Linked DNA regions of Caenorhabditis elegans. The main gene of each other region encodes a partner of the protein of the gene in region 3 in a complex. Each region holds a gene or a part of one and is shown on either strand. Other genes may lie near its edges. The genes, in order: mec-10, mec-2 and mec-6.

What was found.
Region 1: mec-6 (region 3) and mec-10 share a complex: the UniProt entries of both Caenorhabditis elegans proteins name them as parts of the non-voltage-gated amiloride-sensitive cation channel complex.
Region 2: mec-6 (region 3) and mec-2 share a complex: the UniProt entries of both Caenorhabditis elegans proteins name them as parts of the non-voltage-gated amiloride-sensitive cation channel complex.

The regions. Positions count from the first base shown.
Region 1 is NC_003284.9:8,465,217-8,472,358, forward strand, and holds mec-10 (Degenerin mec-10), read right to left. Parts: upstream 5,099-7,142; 5' UTR 5,025-5,098; coding exon 4,756-5,024; intron 4,709-4,755; coding exon 4,616-4,708; intron 4,370-4,615; coding exon 4,248-4,369; intron 4,043-4,247; coding exon 3,960-4,042; intron 3,910-3,959; coding exon 3,613-3,909; intron 3,510-3,612; coding exon 3,440-3,509; intron 3,283-3,439; coding exon 3,206-3,282; intron 2,931-3,205; coding exon 2,838-2,930; intron 2,789-2,837; coding exon 2,706-2,788; intron 2,656-2,705; coding exon 2,581-2,655; intron 2,538-2,580; coding exon 2,437-2,537; intron 2,172-2,436; coding exon 2,011-2,171; intron 1,950-2,010; coding exon 1,854-1,949; intron 1,697-1,853; coding exon 1,521-1,696; intron 1,304-1,520; coding exon 1,175-1,303; intron 1,128-1,174; coding exon 1,052-1,127; intron 964-1,051; coding exon 790-963; 3' UTR 544-789; downstream 1-543. UniProt on the Caenorhabditis elegans protein: Subunit of an amiloride-sensitive cation channel (degenerin channel complex) permeable for sodium, potassium, lithium and N-methylglucamine, and required for mechanosensory transduction (touch sensitivity).
Region 2 is NC_003284.9:5,574,020-5,579,049, reverse strand, and holds the start of mec-2 (Band 7 domain-containing protein), read right to left. Parts: upstream 3,082-5,030; coding exon 2,860-3,081; intron 2,804-2,859; coding exon 2,704-2,803; intron 1,105-2,703; exon of another isoform or gene 1,050-1,104; intron 1-1,049. UniProt on the Caenorhabditis elegans protein: Subunit of an amiloride-sensitive cation channel (degenerin channel complex) permeable for sodium, potassium, lithium and N-methylglucamine, and required for mechanosensory transduction (touch sensitivity).
Region 3 is NC_003279.8:6,723,122-6,728,611, reverse strand, and holds mec-6 (Mechanosensory abnormality protein 6), read right to left. Parts: upstream 3,449-5,490; 5' UTR 3,446-3,448; coding exon 3,354-3,445; intron 3,303-3,353; coding exon 3,232-3,302; intron 3,107-3,231; coding exon 2,910-3,106; intron 2,591-2,909; coding exon 2,324-2,590; intron 2,270-2,323; coding exon 2,138-2,269; intron 1,740-2,137; coding exon 1,524-1,739; intron 730-1,523; coding exon 571-729; 3' UTR 523-570; downstream 1-522. Other genes in the region: lbp-6 (Fatty acid-binding protein homolog 6), read left to right, coding at 7-207. UniProt on the Caenorhabditis elegans protein: Subunit of an amiloride-sensitive cation channel (degenerin channel complex) permeable for sodium, potassium, lithium and N-methylglucamine, and required for mechanosensory transduction (touch sensitivity).

The DNA.
Region 1 (7,142 bases), on a different chromosome or scaffold from region 3:
AAAACGCAGCGTGTATTGGTGTTACGCGTACGCAAAAATTTCATTCATATGTTTCTTTTGATCGAAAGAAAAGTTGCTGTCAGACCCATTGCTAACACCTGTGTAATCAAAATTAATGTTTCCCGTAAAAAGAGAAAGTTCCGGTCCATAAATAAATCATAATACTCAAATAATCTTAATTGGTACTGAAAATACGAAATCATTTTTAATTTATGATTTCATAAAAAATGTATTAGCAAGAATAAAAATAATTCATTTTTTGAAAAAATGTTAATCTTTAATGGTGAATAAGTTACTCAGTTCTTTTTTTAATCTTGAAAACTAACCAAATGTTTTTTCAACCACTAAAAAAGAAAATATGACCACAAAACTAAAAAGAGTTTTGACTGAGAAAAATTATAAAGTAAAGAACTTATAAAACCGAATTCACAAATTTTTCTCTGCCACTTCTCTACTAAGCTCGATGCTTGTATGAAGTCTGAGTATACAGAAGAAATACCAACTTTTTTCAAACTTCATTTCAAGCACTCAATATATTTTTTTTTTATATTTTCCCACAATGAAATAAAAATAAGAATTACAAAAAAAAAATGCAAAAGTGTGTACCCAAAAAATGAAATAAGAAATTTATTTTCCGAATTATATAATGATAACAGAACTAGATTTAATTTTTCAGTTTTGGTTACAAAATTTTTTTAAACATTAAAAAGGTGCATCTGCTACATTCGTTTAATATCGGAAAATGAAAATAAAATAAAATGAGTTGCACCTCCTTTTTTCTCATGGCTCTCAATACTCATTTGCAGCATTTTCTCGTCGTCGAATTCTCTGCTGGTTTATGTGATGTGCAATTGCCATGTATATCAGCTCAAAGGCTAGACACACAAACTCACAACAAGTCATAACAGAAACTCCTGACCAAAGTCCAAGGTGTCCTCCAAAATCAGCCATCATTTTTACAATCTGAAAAAAACGTTTGGGATTGTAGTTCAATTAGCGTATAAGCTTTAAAGCTCTGTTTTTATTGCGCACACGTCAAAGTTTAACTTACACCATAAGCTTCAGACTCTGATAGAACTTCAAAGTTTAGTGCCTCGTAGAAAACCTCTAACATTGCCGCGTTTTCTCTAAAATATTCTTTTACACTAAATTTCTAAATGAGTTCGGGTCATACTTATATTCCTCATTGCATTCCTCCGCTTCTTTTTCGCACTGTCCCAGACTGATGTTTAATGCTTGGGATGGCCAAATGGCTTCAGAATAAGAAGTTGTGTAAATAGTTTGATTGCATGGCTGTTGGCACCTGAAACACTATACTTGGAAAATAGTCTGGACAGGGAAGCGAATAATGTGAAATTACTTGTTGCATAAAATTATATACTTCTGGATATTCTATATTCCTAATTAAAGTCCCAGGAAGATAATTTTTGAAACATTCCACAAACAATGAACACAAGGCACTCAGAAGTTCCGGTGCATCTATATATTTCTAAAACAAAACTAGAATAGTTTTCTCTCACCGACACTTGAATGATCCGTGAATTTCTCCAATTTGATGTGTGTGCTTTTCAAGGCACTCTCTGTGGTTTTTATTGAACACTTGACACGGTTGAACACCCCCGATCGACGGAAATCGTGGATCACTGCATCCGCATCTATCAATAATCAGTTCTTGAAAACAAGTACGATAGCAACCCTGGAATTAACAAATTTTAATGTTTTCCTAACGACCACAAACACAATCATCACTTTTCGTATAGTATGGTTGCGTGTACCATATACTTTTCTTTTATAATTTTTCATTTTATAATAACTCGTGTTTTGGTTTTCTGAATGATGAATTAAAAACGTACTTCTGTTGAGTATGCATAACCCTTGTAGATGTAGTTTGACGTGGCACCATCCTCTACACAATCCCCATACGGCGCAGGTAATCTACTCATCTTCTTCTGAAATGTTTGAAGTTTTATGAGAAACACATTGTAGTTTAGCAAGAAATTATGGGATTACCATGCGCATGCCGAACGACGAGATGTAACCGGTTGGTGCCGAGTAGCCGAAAGTGTCCGGGAATGGGAAATCGTCTTTGTCATGAATGGTCAATCGTATGCCGACGGCTTCGGAAGTTGGCAGATAGTCGCTCGCGTTTACAAATAGCATTACGCGCAAGCCTAGAAAATATGAGAATTGGGATTTACTAAAAAATGGAAACATCAAAACAACGTTCAATTTCTATAGTAAACGTCTAGAATGTTTCCTAAATGGCAGAAACAATCTTGAATATATCTGCTGAAACCGTATCAAATGTTCCTAACTTTTGTAAGAATTCGTCAATTTGGCACAATTTGGCAAATTTTCAGACACATTATTGGTTTTTTCTTCAATTGTTAAATTGTGAAAAAAACTAAAACTAAGTTACAATCCACCCAATCTTACCATATTGTGGTCCAGCTCTCACACTGGACTTGAAAATCTCTCTGTCGTGATTAAAAACAAAACAGTTTCCAAATGTAGGGTCTGCAACTAGCTCAAAATCTCTGGAAAAATCATTTTTTCAACACTACAATACTCTTGACTAACTGGTCGATATCACATGGTTTTCCATTGAATGAGCATTTATGGATCAAATTGTGTTTAGCTTGCGACATTAGTATTCTGGAATGAAAAACTACTAAAATGATTCACGTAGACTTAAGAAAGGTAACCTTTGCTCTTCCGAGAGAGCACTCATGGCGAAAATTATATTTTCCTTGGCTTTTGTTACAATGGCAACTTCATCTGTCATGTTCTGAAAGGAAAATGCAATTAAAATTAAAAAAAAACTAATCCAAAAGTACCCCAAATCCCAATGCTTCTCTTTCTTCTGTGGATATTTCAGAGAAATCTTCACTATCGCCAAAGTATTCCCATAAATTCAATACCATTGCAGCCTGGAAGTAATTTTCAGGACTTCAGTTAACAGCATGTTTATTTGAAAACTTAATCTGATACTTCTGTATTTTTTTTTGGAATTTTCCTTTTGCGAAAATGTACTGTCTAATGAGTGACTCTTTGAAAAACCTGCTGGAAATAATCACCGTTAAATTTTCTCAAATTTAATAGTTTCTGAAGTTTAAATGTTACCGAAGTTTTTACAATTTTATGAGCTTCTCGAGTAATATTTCAAATTTACGTATCCTCCAAACGCAAAGTCTAAAAAACTCACATGTTCGTGCTTAATACAGAAAAGTCCCTTGCTCTCACAAATACACGGCTCCTTCTTGAGTTCCGATCTTTTGGTTCCTACAAAATTGGTAACTTATGTAACTTGTACTTTGCACATTCTTTGTTTCTTTGTTCATATTTCTCATTTTTATATTCTCGTTGGGTGTGTTTTTTTGGTCCACACAGATCGGAAAACCAACACTTGCATCCTTTTCAAACGCCTCCCTCGCAATACCTTTCTTAGCTTTTTTGCTGCATAAATAATGCTCATCACACGTTTGACATGTAGTATTTGTCCACTGCTCCTGAAAAAAATCTGTTGACGTTTCTATTTTCTCTTTTTTTTGCAACAAGTTGCTTCATGCAAACTAATAGGCGGAATACACCAAAGCTTTGAGAGTGACCTACTTTTCTATGACACGGCCACGCATCGTTGGTCTGCCGATCGAAAGCACAAATGCACATATCATTATCGCCCGATGGCTTTTCAGTGGATCTTTCTTCACATTCATTGGAACCGTCTTCCTCGTCGCACTCACAAGCCGAGTTCGCTGGTTCAAATGTTCCCTTCTCGCCAGCTCCTCTCTTTTTTCTTTTTGCTTGGATAGTTATTCCATTCATATCATATTCGGTTTCCTCCTCTTCTTCCAATGCTTCCGAGCTGCTATCACCAGCTTTTTTCATAACACTTTTGAATACACCAAGCTAAAAAAATATGAATAGAGGGGAAAACTCTCGGGAAAACAGAAACTCACGATTTTACTAATACTGTCATGTGATCTGATGACACTATCTTTGTACGGGTTCAAATTGCAAAGAGTAATTGCAGGAAAGGGCGCTGAAAAAAACGGAAACTAAAAACTTACACCTGGAATATTTTGAAAATGGTATCGTATTGTATTGCAGTTAAAAACAGTGACATGATATTATTATAAGCACGGAAACAAAAAACTTAAAGTAAAAGTTATAAAGGTGAAAAATGCGTTACTACTATTTTCAAAACACTTTTTAAGATCGTATTGAAGAACTCAGAAACCACTCGCCTGTGTCAAACTTCAATTGTATATCCGTGATTTTATCCATCTTCTGATACTTCTGAATCACAGCGACCGCCTGATTGATAAATTGTATAGCACAGATTAGAAGCAAGAATACCCATGCAGCTCTGGAAAAAGGTTTTATGGGTTGGTTTACTGTCAAACACAAAAAAATATTGTTAGATAATTTTGTTTAAAGGAGAAGTAAGTGTTTTTGTTTATTATTTTTTATTTTTCTTCAATGATCTTTTGATTAAATAAACTAAACACTTTTATTATGACCGTTGAAAACTTTAAAAATAGCTAACAGCTGGTTTTTTTTTCATATCTCTGCTGTTTCTTAAGATGAAGCTCCCTCCCAATATGCCTATTACCTGTATAAACTGTTTGGAGCTTGCCCAAGCATTGGAATACCATGACTAGATGTTTTATAGCAAAACTGTTGTAAATGCCATCTTATTCTTTCTCTGAAAAATTAGTATGAAATCACAAATAATCGAAGAAAAAGACAAACCTGTAAGATAATCTTGTCGGGTCAATTTCAATACCACCGTTTTCTGTCAGAAGATCGCACTGAATTTCTTTTTCGTGTGCATTATTGCTTTCTCCGTAAGCATAAGATGTCATAATTTCCGCAACATTCAGAAAGTTAGTGTCACTTGCGAGATAATTTGAAAAATCGGTTTTGAAACTTCTGAGCGAACGCAAATCTGTTTCATCTTGAAATCGACTGCGACTACGAGGATTTGGTTGAAATTTTGACATTCGCGGGTTTCGATTCATTTTTTGAATTTTGTACAAATAACAGAATCAACGGACGTTTTCTAAGAACCGAGTGAAGCGCTTGGACCAATTCGACAAAACGAATGCATTTGTAAGTGGGACTCATTTTCCCATAATCGGATGTTTTGTGCACGTTTCTCAGCTATGCATGACTTCCCCATCCCAAAAAATTCCTTCATTCTATCGTTGTGATAGTTCATAGATGAACTTTAATGTTCTCATCGAATCGTGTGTTTCATCGAAAAGTAAGACGAGATGGTGCGTCAAAAGTCACGCAAAACGGAAATTTACCTGATAACAGCACCACGTACCGACCGATTATACTGTTACAGAATAGCTGTTTGCACATTTCGCAAGACGAGAGATGACAAAATATCGATAGAAGTGTAGCTAGTGAGCACAAAGATAATACGTGATTATCATGTGGACTTGATGTATGGAAATTTCTTTAAATTATGTTTACTTTCTTAAGAGGACTTTTAATCATTGACAATTTTCTCGCAATGGTCGAATAGAACAAAAAAAACCAACACAATGCCTGAAGAGAAATAATTGCATCATCATATTTTAACTTTTCAGTGTTTTATTAATTTGAGCCCATAAAAATTGATTGGTTGCTGAAATATAATTGGTATGGGATTGCTCAGTCGGCACTGGTGGCCGTGAGCAACTGAATATGGGTTCCCAGTTCAAGTGCTGCATTCCGACAAGTTCACCTAGACCGAACTGGGAAGCGAAGCAATCCAAAACTGGATTTCAGTCTCAAGTTTGGACGTGGCTTAATTTAAAACACCGTGGGAGCGCCCCAACAATATTACCAGATTTCCACTTTTGCAGGGTATAGCTTGAGCGAGGATTGTCTTTTAATCCTTTTTATGAAAATTGTTCTATTAACTTTGAATACAAAACATATGTTTTATTAGCTCCTAGTGGAGCGAGACAAATACATAGAAGTGACAAAACAATAGATGCTGCGAGACTAAATTTTGAATGCGCATTGTTTTGATCTTTGACGAAACCATGATTTGTTACTTACTTGCTTAGTTACTTAGACGATCCGTTCTTCAGGAATTCGTGGTATTCCTGCGGATCACAGCAAGCCATTCTTTTCGGTCCTTGGCTATAGTGGACCATGGGGTGATGACTTCTCCGTCTGCGTCCCGAGTCGTGATCTCCTTTCGCAGCGAATCAGTTCATCGCATCGGCGGTCTTCCAACAGGCCTTTTCCAGTTCCAGGGGCGCCATTCTGTCATCAGCGTGGTCCATCTTCCGTCTTTCTTTCTCGCAACGTGTCCAGCCCATCCTAGCTTCCTCTTTTTCACGAAATTGAGCGGATCTCTTACTTGAGACATTTCACGAATATCTTCTCGATGAAGATCTCATTCTCGTTGTTGAATGAGTGTGATTCCCACAAGCCGTCTTTCTAGGGAGGCATGTGTGATTCTTACTCGTTCGGATAGAGCTTTGGTGAATGTCCAGGCTTCTGAACCATAGGTGAGAGCGGGAAGGACGATTGAATTATTGCTTTTAAAAGAGAAGTAGCGATTCTGGGTTTTTGTTCTAATTAACATGATTGAACCAAATTTCACCAAATTTCAGAACCAGACTGCTTCAGAAAATTTTCAACAAAACTTTTACGGTGGTTCGACATGTCATGACTAATAGTAAGAGCTGTAAAACTTTCAGTTGTTTTTCTTTTTTTTAAGAAGTTTGATAGAAAAATAGCCGGATCTTAACTAATTTGCTTGAAAACATTTCGAAAAAATTTGAAAAGCTATTTATGGTTTAGTACTTCAAATATACAACACAATGAAGTCAACTATTTATATACTATTGATTTAATGTTAAGTGACTTTGATTCCTGTTTTAGCTCAAAATACGTGCGATGTGTTGTGAGATATTGCAATTACTGCTCACTCATTCCCTTACATATTATCCAAATGAAAGAAAAAGTTGAGCAATGGCAAACTACATATTTTCTTTGAAAAATAAAACAAATTGTACTAAACTAGCTAATTTTGCAAATAACTCAAAGATTGAAAGATCAACATATTACAAATTATTAGGAGTTTTGATTTTAATCTAGTAGTATTGTTTTAATTTTAATATGCACATAAG
Region 2 (5,030 bases), on a different chromosome or scaffold from region 3:
TTTTTAAAAACATTTTTTAACATTTTGCAGTCGAAAAATGGTGAAAAATCACCATAATGTTTGGAAGTTGACCAGAAAAATTTTTTCTACATAAAATGTTTTAATCGTGTTTTGATAATTTGATGTATGCTTATTTTGAGGAACTACTGAAAAAAAAAGTTTAGGAAAATATATGAGGAAAACTATTGGCAACTTATGGGGTTAACTGTGAAGCCATTTTCCATTTTGAGAAACAAACGTTTTCTGAGAAAGCATTGCTTTTTTACTGAAATTTCGAAATTTAGAGATTTGCATTTATAACGAATGGCCTAAATTGGTTGTGTTGAGAAAACGAAAAAAGAGCAGGTAGACTTTAAAACCACACCAATGTTGCATATCTGCTTCATGCCTAATTCCATTGTGTGGAATCAAGAAAGAATAGGACGAAAGCACTTTTATGTTTAATTAAAGATTTTTCAGACATAAAGGCCAAAAAAGAGAGAAAATTACGTTTTCTCGATGATTGCACTCAGAGTAAACATTGAACAACTAGAGAAAGCGTAAAAATTTAAGAGGGAATGCTTAAATTCTTCGAACCGAAAATTTTTGTTTAAGAAGACGAAGCTCATAGTGTGACTAACTTCTTCTGACTATGTTTTTGTTGCTTTTTTTGGTTGCAGTGTTCTCTACTGTGATAAACTCTTTCACTCTTCCAAATTACTTTTCTTGTAGAAAACTTTAACAAAACAAAAAATGTGAAAAACATCGTTTCTAAAATGAGATTTTTGTTATGCCTTACTTCGACGACAGGAACAATAAAAAACTTAAAAATAATTTGTCTTTTCTCAGAATTCTTAAAGTCAATCTTTTTGAACGGGTTATTTTTTAATTTTGTGCTAAAGAAAATAAAAACTGAATTTTGTTACAAAACAGCCGCCAAAAATATTTTAAAAATAAAGGCAGACCGAGAACGTGCATAATATTCAAAATGATATGTCAAGAACACCGTTTGTTTTTTATTTATATTTTTTCTTCAAACAACACCCAAACTTTCAGAAAAAGGGAACAGGAAAAAAAGAGTCCCGCGACAAAAACCGACTAAGTTGAAAAACATACAAATAACCGAGGCCCGAAAGAGAGGCTATTTTCCAGAGGCAATATACATCTGGCTTATGAAAGCGAGAAAGAAAAATGAGGTGCGTAAACTACTTTCAGACATAAACTCCTGACAGGGAGGGGTTCGGGAACAGACAGAAGACGAAACAAACAAGTAGAATTCTCATTTACTTAGCGACTGCTTATCTGCTAAATATGTCTATTATTTTTGTCGTCAGTCGGGTACCTCGTGGTGAGCTGGAACGCTGGGAAATACTAAAAACTGAAAACTGCGAAAATATGTGGAAAACACCGGTGCGAGCAGGATAATAAAAGGGAAGTTCACGATAATTTGAAAGAATGACACTTAAAAGGAACGTCTAACCGGTGCTGCCATTTTTTATAAGTAGTAAACAATCGTACTGATATTCAATTACTATTAATGAGTCGGTAAATTTGCTGTTTTCAACCAGATTCGAGAATCGTTGAGTTCAACGTAGTTAATTGTTAATTCACCTTAAGCCTTAAGCTTAAGAAAGTCTGTTGCTATTTTTTTTGTTTTGTAGGAACGACAAACGCGTAATGTTACAACATCTCCAATTTCTTCAATATATAGTTTCTAGTTATTAGTACTGATTTCTTAATTTTCGTTTATAAGATTTAAGAACTCAGTTATATCAAACAACTCAACTTGCTACAAGAAAAAAAACAAAGGAAAACCAGAATTGGAGGTGTTACAACTAGTAATCAGAATTTGTTATTGAATTTCATCATGAGAATTGGCGAAGCACGACGACATGTATACGACAAGAAATAGAGATCAGAAAAAAACAGGATCATTGAAAATTATGAGCCAGCCTGTGTTGAACTTGACTGTTAAAAATAATGAATTTTCATATTATGTAGAAGTCGAAAGGTGAGAAACTTTGCCGTATTCTATGTAGGCGCTTGGGTCTCGCCAAACAAGGGATTTTTAGCATTTTCAAAATGTAGCATGAACTCAGAAATCGCCACTTTTTGACTGTCTATAAAACATTTTCAAAAACTGAAACGTTTTATTATTATATTTGGTTGGTTTTTATTTACCAGTAGTATTTCACAATTCCACTGGCGCATTCAAACGTTTAAATGATAAAGAATATTACCGAAGTATATATAACCAGAAACTTGTGAGACAAATCGGTACCAAGGTTAACTCGAATTACATTTAAGCATTACTTGTCGGCTAACCGCATTTCCTCTATTTGTATTGCACTTCACTGTTTTATTTTGAAAAATTAAATTTAGGTTCATTGTGAGAATACCACTAAATGATTAACTACAGAACAATGAAAATAGAAACAACACAGCATTCGTCATTTGACTTTTTTTCAAAGATATAACAAAGGACAACTAAGATATGACCCAATAAAATACTGTATTTTACATCAGTTTTCAGAAATTTAAATAATTGAATAAGTTGTTAAAGCTTTAACAACAGCGTGTCACAATTTTAAACAATTTCGAACATTTTTTTAGAGTAAAGCAGCATTTTGAACCTTAAAGTTGTCACTTAACAAATGAAAGCACGAGTTTCTACATATGTATGACTAATTCAATCAAATAAGTGACAAAGATTGTAGTTTCTACCTTTTTCCTCTTTTCCATTTCCTTTCTCCACATCCTTTTCAGCTTGCTTTTCTTTTTTCACCGAGTCATCGTCGCTGTTGGCCGAGATGATTGATGTACTCTACAGCGGAAACAAATACGATAATCCGGAAACCAAAAAATTTAATAGACACACACCTCTTCAAGTTGCTGTAAAGTCCTGGTCGCCATATTCTCAACTTCGTCCGATGACGTTGATAAGAGATCATCGTCTTTGGAGCTGGATGATGGGAGCATGGCGCCCTCCTGTTGAATACTAGAGCTCCGTTCGTTGCTAACCAATCGAGTCTCGACCTTGACAGAGCCGTTTGAAGATAGTGAAACGACCGAATTGCGAGCTGATGACATTGTGGCGCTCATAGATTGAATGTGTGGGCATTCAGTCACAGACTACTGGGACACGATTCACGAATGACACATAAACACTCGGCGAATAGTGGGATGTACTCTCGAATGTATGGATTTCGTTGAGCAAGCCGGGCTCACACCCCAAAAAGAAGACGACTCTGCTCCAATTGGTATATGACGTCCCTGATTACAAATGCAAAGAAAACAGTTAGGGGTAACAGTGCAGCGAAGAACTTGCTACTAGCCTATTGTCTCTGGCGTGACTTGTCCATTGTAATGCAAGAGTTTCGAGAACATTTTCGTTTTGGGATCTTGAAGTTGCCAGAAACTTGAATAGTAGGACTTATATGCATATGTTAGGTCGGACTTTAGAATAGTAGTTTCTTGGGAAAAAGGTCAGGCGGGAAAAGGCGAATGGAAACAGTGAACGGGAAACCTGGGAAGCTGAAAATTTTCTTGAAAATCGAAACGCTTCGAAGCCGTAAATTAATTTCAAATGATATAGTTTTAAATAACTATTATTAGAAATACATTTAATCATGAGATACATAATGGTGGCTGAAATAACTCTTCTGTAACTCTTCTGAAACTCTCAACACTCTCTAAATTTGTAATTAAAAGTAGTCCACGTTTCTTATCAGATTCCTCACGTTAACGCAATTTGTTTATGAAAATTCCTAACTTTCAATGTTACCTCTTGGGGAAAACTATGATAATTTTAGGTTGTATGAAATTAAAGAAAATGGGTCAAAGGGACAGAGTGCTGTAAAAAACTCTTTAAAAAATGATTATGCAATTATCCAAATTCTTTATGATTTTTAAATTTGCAACAAAAAATGGTTTTAAAAAATTTGATACATTTTTGGATGATACGACCTACTTTTAAAAATGTGTTCTAAAATATAAATGTATGATTGGATTGAAGGCGGAAAATGGAAAATAAATTTTAAAGTTTAAAAAACCCAAAAATAAACATACAGCTTAATTTCCACAATTTCCAAAACTCAATTCAAAATAAAGATAGAAATAAAATGTATCGAAGAAATGTTTTGTTTTAATTTTAGAGTATAAGTTTGTTTTACTATGATATTTAGCCATAACATTTTAATAACCCCTATTTTCAAAACAAACAACTATTTACGAAACGTATTTTTTTGCATATGGTCCTTTTTTGACAACTGTTATCAAAATTGTCAGTATACCCTTTTTTGTTAGTTCGAATTTTCCATATTTCTTACTTTGTATTATATTTCTTATTCATGAATTCCTCGTGTAAAAAATTAAACTAGACACACAATTTACAACATCTAGTCCTTTACGATTCACTGCATTTTCATTAAATGCTCTTTTTCACTCCTCCTCCTCCTGACTATATCCTCCTCCTTCTGACTTCTTGTTGTATTGTTTATATGTTTCCCACGCCATCGTCAAGAATAACTTTCGAAAAAAGACACAAAGATGGATTATGTGAAACTTGAGATTTTTTCATTATATTTTTAAGTATCATAAAACCATTGGGAGTGTTTTGAGAAACAACTATGACGAATGCACAAAGCCATTTGAACTAGCCGTTTTCATCTTCAGATTGGTTGCGAATTCTCGTTTTTTTTTGTTTTGAACACACTCCAGTTGTTGCTAACTGAGAGTGCGGAAACGTGTCATTCCGGTGTGAAGCGTTTTTTTTGCAAATACACATAACGTATGGAAGATGTATTTCATGTGTGTATGTGTTATGAAAAAAGGATGCACACCAATTGAATCAACCTTGTCGTTGCGGGGGCTTATTGAAAAAGTTGAAAGTACTTGAAGTATCTGACAATTTTGCAAAATGGGAAACATAACGTTAACACTCTTTGGGTGGACGCTTTTAGGTGCTCTCAGGAATTTCGAGCTCTCGTCTCACTTTTCCTAGCCCTCATTAACTCATTCTTCCTTTTCTTCTCAACACACAGATTTCCGAC
Region 3 (5,490 bases):
TCCCAGGAATTCGATGAGACCACTCCAGATGGCCGTACCGTCAAGTCAGTTGTCAACTTCGAGAACGGAAAATTCATTCACATTCAAAAGAAGATCAAGGACTCTGATAAGGAATCAATTATCACCCGTTGGCTCGAAGGAGACAAGCTTATCACTACTCTTGAATCTGGATCCGTTGTTTCTCGCCGCGAGTACGTTCGCGAATAGATTCTCAATTCCCAACATGAGCTTTGTTCTTGTCTTCCTGTGATATTTAATAGTAAATATTGAAATTTAAAGTATTACAATTATTTCTTTATGGCAATAAATGAGAAATATATTATCAGACTTCGAATCAAGACACTAAGAATGACTAATTGTGACGAGAAATTAGTTAATTTGAAAGCTGCTAAATTCTCATAAATCGACTTTCCTCTAAAACGCTGGAAGGCTATTGAAAAGGGGTGGAGGCGTGGCGCCCCCGTTACGCCTCGACAAGTTTATAAATAAATCTAGATACAATGTCTACAACACATCTGTTTCTAGATCATATTCATCGGTTTATTTTTTAAATAAGCTCTAAAAGTTTGACTATGTAATATATGAATGCGTAAGATCACAATGAAGAAGTCTTCCAAATGAACTTCCAATTAACATTTGTTCATCAGTGAATACAACTGATGAACTCGCCGAAATAGTTGCTCCATCGTTTGCATACGGTTCAGTTGTTACCCAAGAGTTGCCTTCTTCCTGAAACAAATGCGATTTTTGATTTTTTGACGCTTTTTCGCATTGATTAGTATTTGAATGAATTGATAAAAAACGTGGAAACAGAGTCTGATAAGTTCGAGTCTTGACAACATGTTTATGGGAACAAAGTGCTTGGTTAGCGTAATTTGATACTTTACAAATGATAAAGAAGCTATTATATTGAAGTTTCAAATTTATTTTACAAAAAAATTTGAACGGGGTAGAATACCTAGATTATTTTAATAAATAGAAGAAAACTGGGAAAGCTCGATGCACTAAAAATGCTTCGAAAAAAAAGAAAAAGTTTCAAAATTCTTCAAAATTTTTCGAAATCTCGTGAAACGGAACTAAATTTTTCCAATATTCACAACACTTGTCTCAATCATTTTTAGTCTGAAGTACCTTGTCTGTGGTCGAACATATCATGTGTTTCAGTCATAAGAACACTTGAATCGAATAAATTTATATATTTAAACCTCTCCGGAGATTACTTGTTTTTCATTAAATTCATTATGGTATTGACTAATTTCAAGGTTTTTATTCTAGTTTTATTTTTATTTATTATAATGTCATTTGTGGAGCCTTATATAATATTTCCATATATCTACGCAGGAACTGCTCCCTTCAAATTGGAACAGGAATCTTTCCACTATATAGTTGCTGGTTAAAATTTATTTTTATTTGAAAATGAAATAAATCGTTTTTTAAAGATTGAATTAGAAACACTGTATTCAGATCTGAGTTTTAAATTTCTGCCTAATAAACTTTGAAATAAAAACAAAAATAATACAAACCTGTATCCTTATTCTCAAAATTTGGCTTGGAGAATGTATATTTTGATTTTCTGGATGAGTATAATGCCATGCAGATTCATGAATAACTGGATGAGCAGCAATCCAAATATCTCCAGTTTTTGATTCAACGAAAACTCCAATTGGTGATGTCAATAACATCATTTCATACAATAATTCAAGTGTTGTATCCTTCGCTACTTTGTAAGCGAATATTGACTGAAAATTCTTCATTCAAAAGTTGTTTGTGCTTCAGGACAGTTTTTTTAAACAAATTATATTTTTGAAACGTAACAGAAATAATATAAAATCAAAGCTGTCGGTTGCAACAACTTTTTCAGTAGACCTCAGAATTGTATCTTCTTGGCAGATGCTGCGAAACTATTTAGCTTTTTTTAATGACTTCCGTGTTTCTAACATAGGTGATCCCAGGGAAAAGTTAGAAAATGCCAATGCGTATCATCGAAACAAACAAAGTGTTTAAAATTTTGTGAAGGCAGCTTTTCGAATAACTTGAAACAATTTCAGCATAAAAAAAACCGCCGAAGTGTCTCGAAGTTTTATTCAAAAGCCCAAATTGTTTTGTATATTTGGAAATTTACCAAAACGTTCCAAACCTCTCTGATCATAGATCCAACATAAAGAATTCTTCGTTTTGCGTCATATCCAATTCCCGTAGGTGCAATCAGGCTGGAAGCAGCAGTTGATAGTTTGCTACCATCATAGTAGTATACAGCTCCTTGTCCAGTCTGTAATAAACCGATTGTCATTTGATATGATTCCATAATTGGAGGTCAACTCACCTGTAATGAAAATTCCAAAATTTGAGCCCATCCTCTCCCAAATGCAGCCATATTTGTGACAAACAGTCGATCTGGTCCTACTACAGCAATATCCTGGAGACTTGAAAATGAAGGATCACATATTGCTTTTCGATGATTAAGTTTTGAACTTTCAACAATTTGGAAGAAATGAATACATTGATGATTTGGATGAGCATTTATTACATAGAGAAGTACACGACCATTTGATGAAGAATATGAATCAATTCCTGTTGGAATGAACTCTTTCTGAAAATAAAGGTTCTAGGTTTCAGGTTTTATTATAATTCTCGAAAGTATATAACTTTCCCGATTGGGGCTTCTTACTCGGATCTCGGGAAAACTTTTTGCCAACAACCTGGCTTCCTGGCTGTTAAAACTGCTCAGATAAGCTACCAATCTGCTGATCTGATTAAGTCTCTCATTTTCAAAATGTTGTCTGAAACTTGCAAAAGTTTGGCAGAAAGTTTCTCTCAATCACCGAGTAGTTCATTCATTATATTGCCCCCACTGCTGAAGCAAATCAATATTTCAATTCTTTTCAGGCTATTCAAACTAAATTACACACCTTATATTCATAACCATTCCAATTGATTGTCATTTCAATCAAATCATACATTTCCTGCTGACTCCTTCCATCTGTTCGATTTGTTTTATAAAATGCGATGCCAGTTTTTGTTTTCAAATCGTGTGCTCTACCGTACCCCAATGTTATGTACACCCGTTTTTGAGATTCGACGTATGTCATGCCGGCGGTTCCTTTATCTGGAATATAGATGGATGACTCTTTTTATAATTTTTTACTTTTGATATCCGCATAATGTGTTTCTAATTGTAATAAAACCTTTTTTCAGTTACAAAATTTAAAATTCAAAAAAATTTAAACTTACAGTTATCTGTTAGAACTCTGCAGGGACCAGGTGTGTGATTATAAACACGTTTGTTGAGATCAAGTACTACTCTGAAAACCAAAAAGTTAATATAATCACTAAAATTGTGCCCTTGAACTTACAAAAGTCTCAACAAAAAGCATGCAACCATAAATATAGTAATCCAAATAATAAAACGATTTATGAAATGAGCAGCTGCCGATTGGAGACCCATTTTCTGTAAAATAGAAAACCTGATTTAAATAAAGAACACTTAACATTTTTCATTTTTTAAAAGGATCACTACTGGATGGAAGGTTACTTTCTAAAGTCGAGATAAAATGAAATGCTAATCAAGTTCAGTGAGCTTTTATCAATTTTTATATCGGAAAAGTCAAAACAACGGACCACTTTTAAAGTTTAAAATGGATATTCCGCTCTCAAGTAAAACATACAGCATATACTAAAACAAAGGATTTGACTGTGTGGACCTCCTTGGAAACGGCTGGTCCCAGTGGCCATCTGCTGAAGGAGAGATAGTATTGAAAACTAGGAGGCAACCAGAGATAGAGGGAAGAATTCAGCTGAACGAGCTTTCTTCTGCTCTTGGTGAGCACTTCCTCCGTTCTTCTCATTTTCTTTTGGCAAGTCTGTTGTGAATTTTAAATGGGTGTAGCGTTAACTCAGAAAATGATGGACAAATGCATAATTAGTTTGTGATAATTGATTCTGCAATTTTTAATTTCCGTTTTTAAAAGTTCATAAACATTTTTTTTTGTTGCTTGTTGGTGTGTGTACACAGAATAATTTATTTGAATTCCCACCATTCCGTTGCGACATATTATCATCGGAGCGCAACTGCATTTACCAAAAAAACTGTTGAGGGGGTACGTTTTCGTAAGGGGATTTTTTCGTAAGGAACGCTTTCAGTAGGGCAATGTGCGGCGCGCCTTTTCGCAAGCCCGCCGCACAGTCCTTCGCAATGCGCCGCACGGCTTTTTGCAATGCGCCGCACGCTTCTTCGTATTTATTTATTTATTTTTCCAACAGGAAATTTCGAACGGAATTCAATTAAAAACGGATTTTTAATGGAAATTAATTAGTTTTATTCGAGCTAAATACGGATATTTTTTTCAGAATTTTCGATGACAAAAACGGGTTTCAATCGATTTCGAATCGATCAAAATTAATATTAATCGAAAATGAGCGTTTCCTTCCCGGAAAAAGAAGAACTTGATGCTGAGAGTGATCCAGGCGGAGCCAAACGATTAAAATGATAGAAGTGATTTTTTATTCAGTCGAAATGGAAAATAAAACTGCAAACAAAAGTTAATTCGATTAAATTAAGTAAGAAAAATCATGGCGAAATTTGGATAACCTGAGTATGGAAAATTGTTTCTATAATCTAATGGCACAGAGGTAAACAAAGAGATCAGTGATAGCATTTCGGAATTTCCATAAAAGGGAAAAGTTTCTCATTAAAAGCACTGAAACCGGTATAATTCAAAAACACTGAAGTACAGAAATCGGGGTTTTTGTATAATGGCACAGCGGTTGTTCGATTTCCGGATCGTCTCTTCAAGTCTAGGATCAATGATTTTGATAGTTGAATGGTCTTTTGAATCACTCCTCGCAGGTTTTGATAGTCGTTGTGATGATACATTCTCTGGAAAACAAAACAAATCGATGTTATATACCTATTTGAGAACTTAAAAAACTACAAAAAGAAACTTGCCTTCAGCTTGGAAAATTGCTGCTCACTCGGGTTGTTTGTGAACGCTGAAAAATACTTTTCACTCTTCAATTAATCTTTAGACATCAATACTTGCCTCTAAAAAAGCGTTTGGCTCCGCTTGGATCACTCTCAGCATCAAGTTCTTCTTTTTCCGGGAAGGAAACGCTCATTTTCGATTAATATTAATTTTGATCGATTCGAAATCGATTGAAACCCGTTTTTGTCATCGAAAATTCTGAAAATATCCGTATTTAGCTCGAATAAAACTAATTAATTTCCATTAAAAATCCGTTTTTAATTGAATTCCGTTCGAAATTTCCTGTTGGAAAAATAAATAAATAAATACGAAGAAGCGTGCGGCGCATTGCAAAAAGCCGTGCGGCGCATTGCGAAGGACTGTGCGGCGGGCTTGCGAAAAGGCGCGCCGCACATTGCCCTACTGAAAGCGTTCCTTACGAAAAAATCCCCTTACGAAAACGTACCCCCTCAAACTGTTTTTATTCCAACATTTTTGTTTTTTAAAATCTAAGTTAAACTTCTTTTTA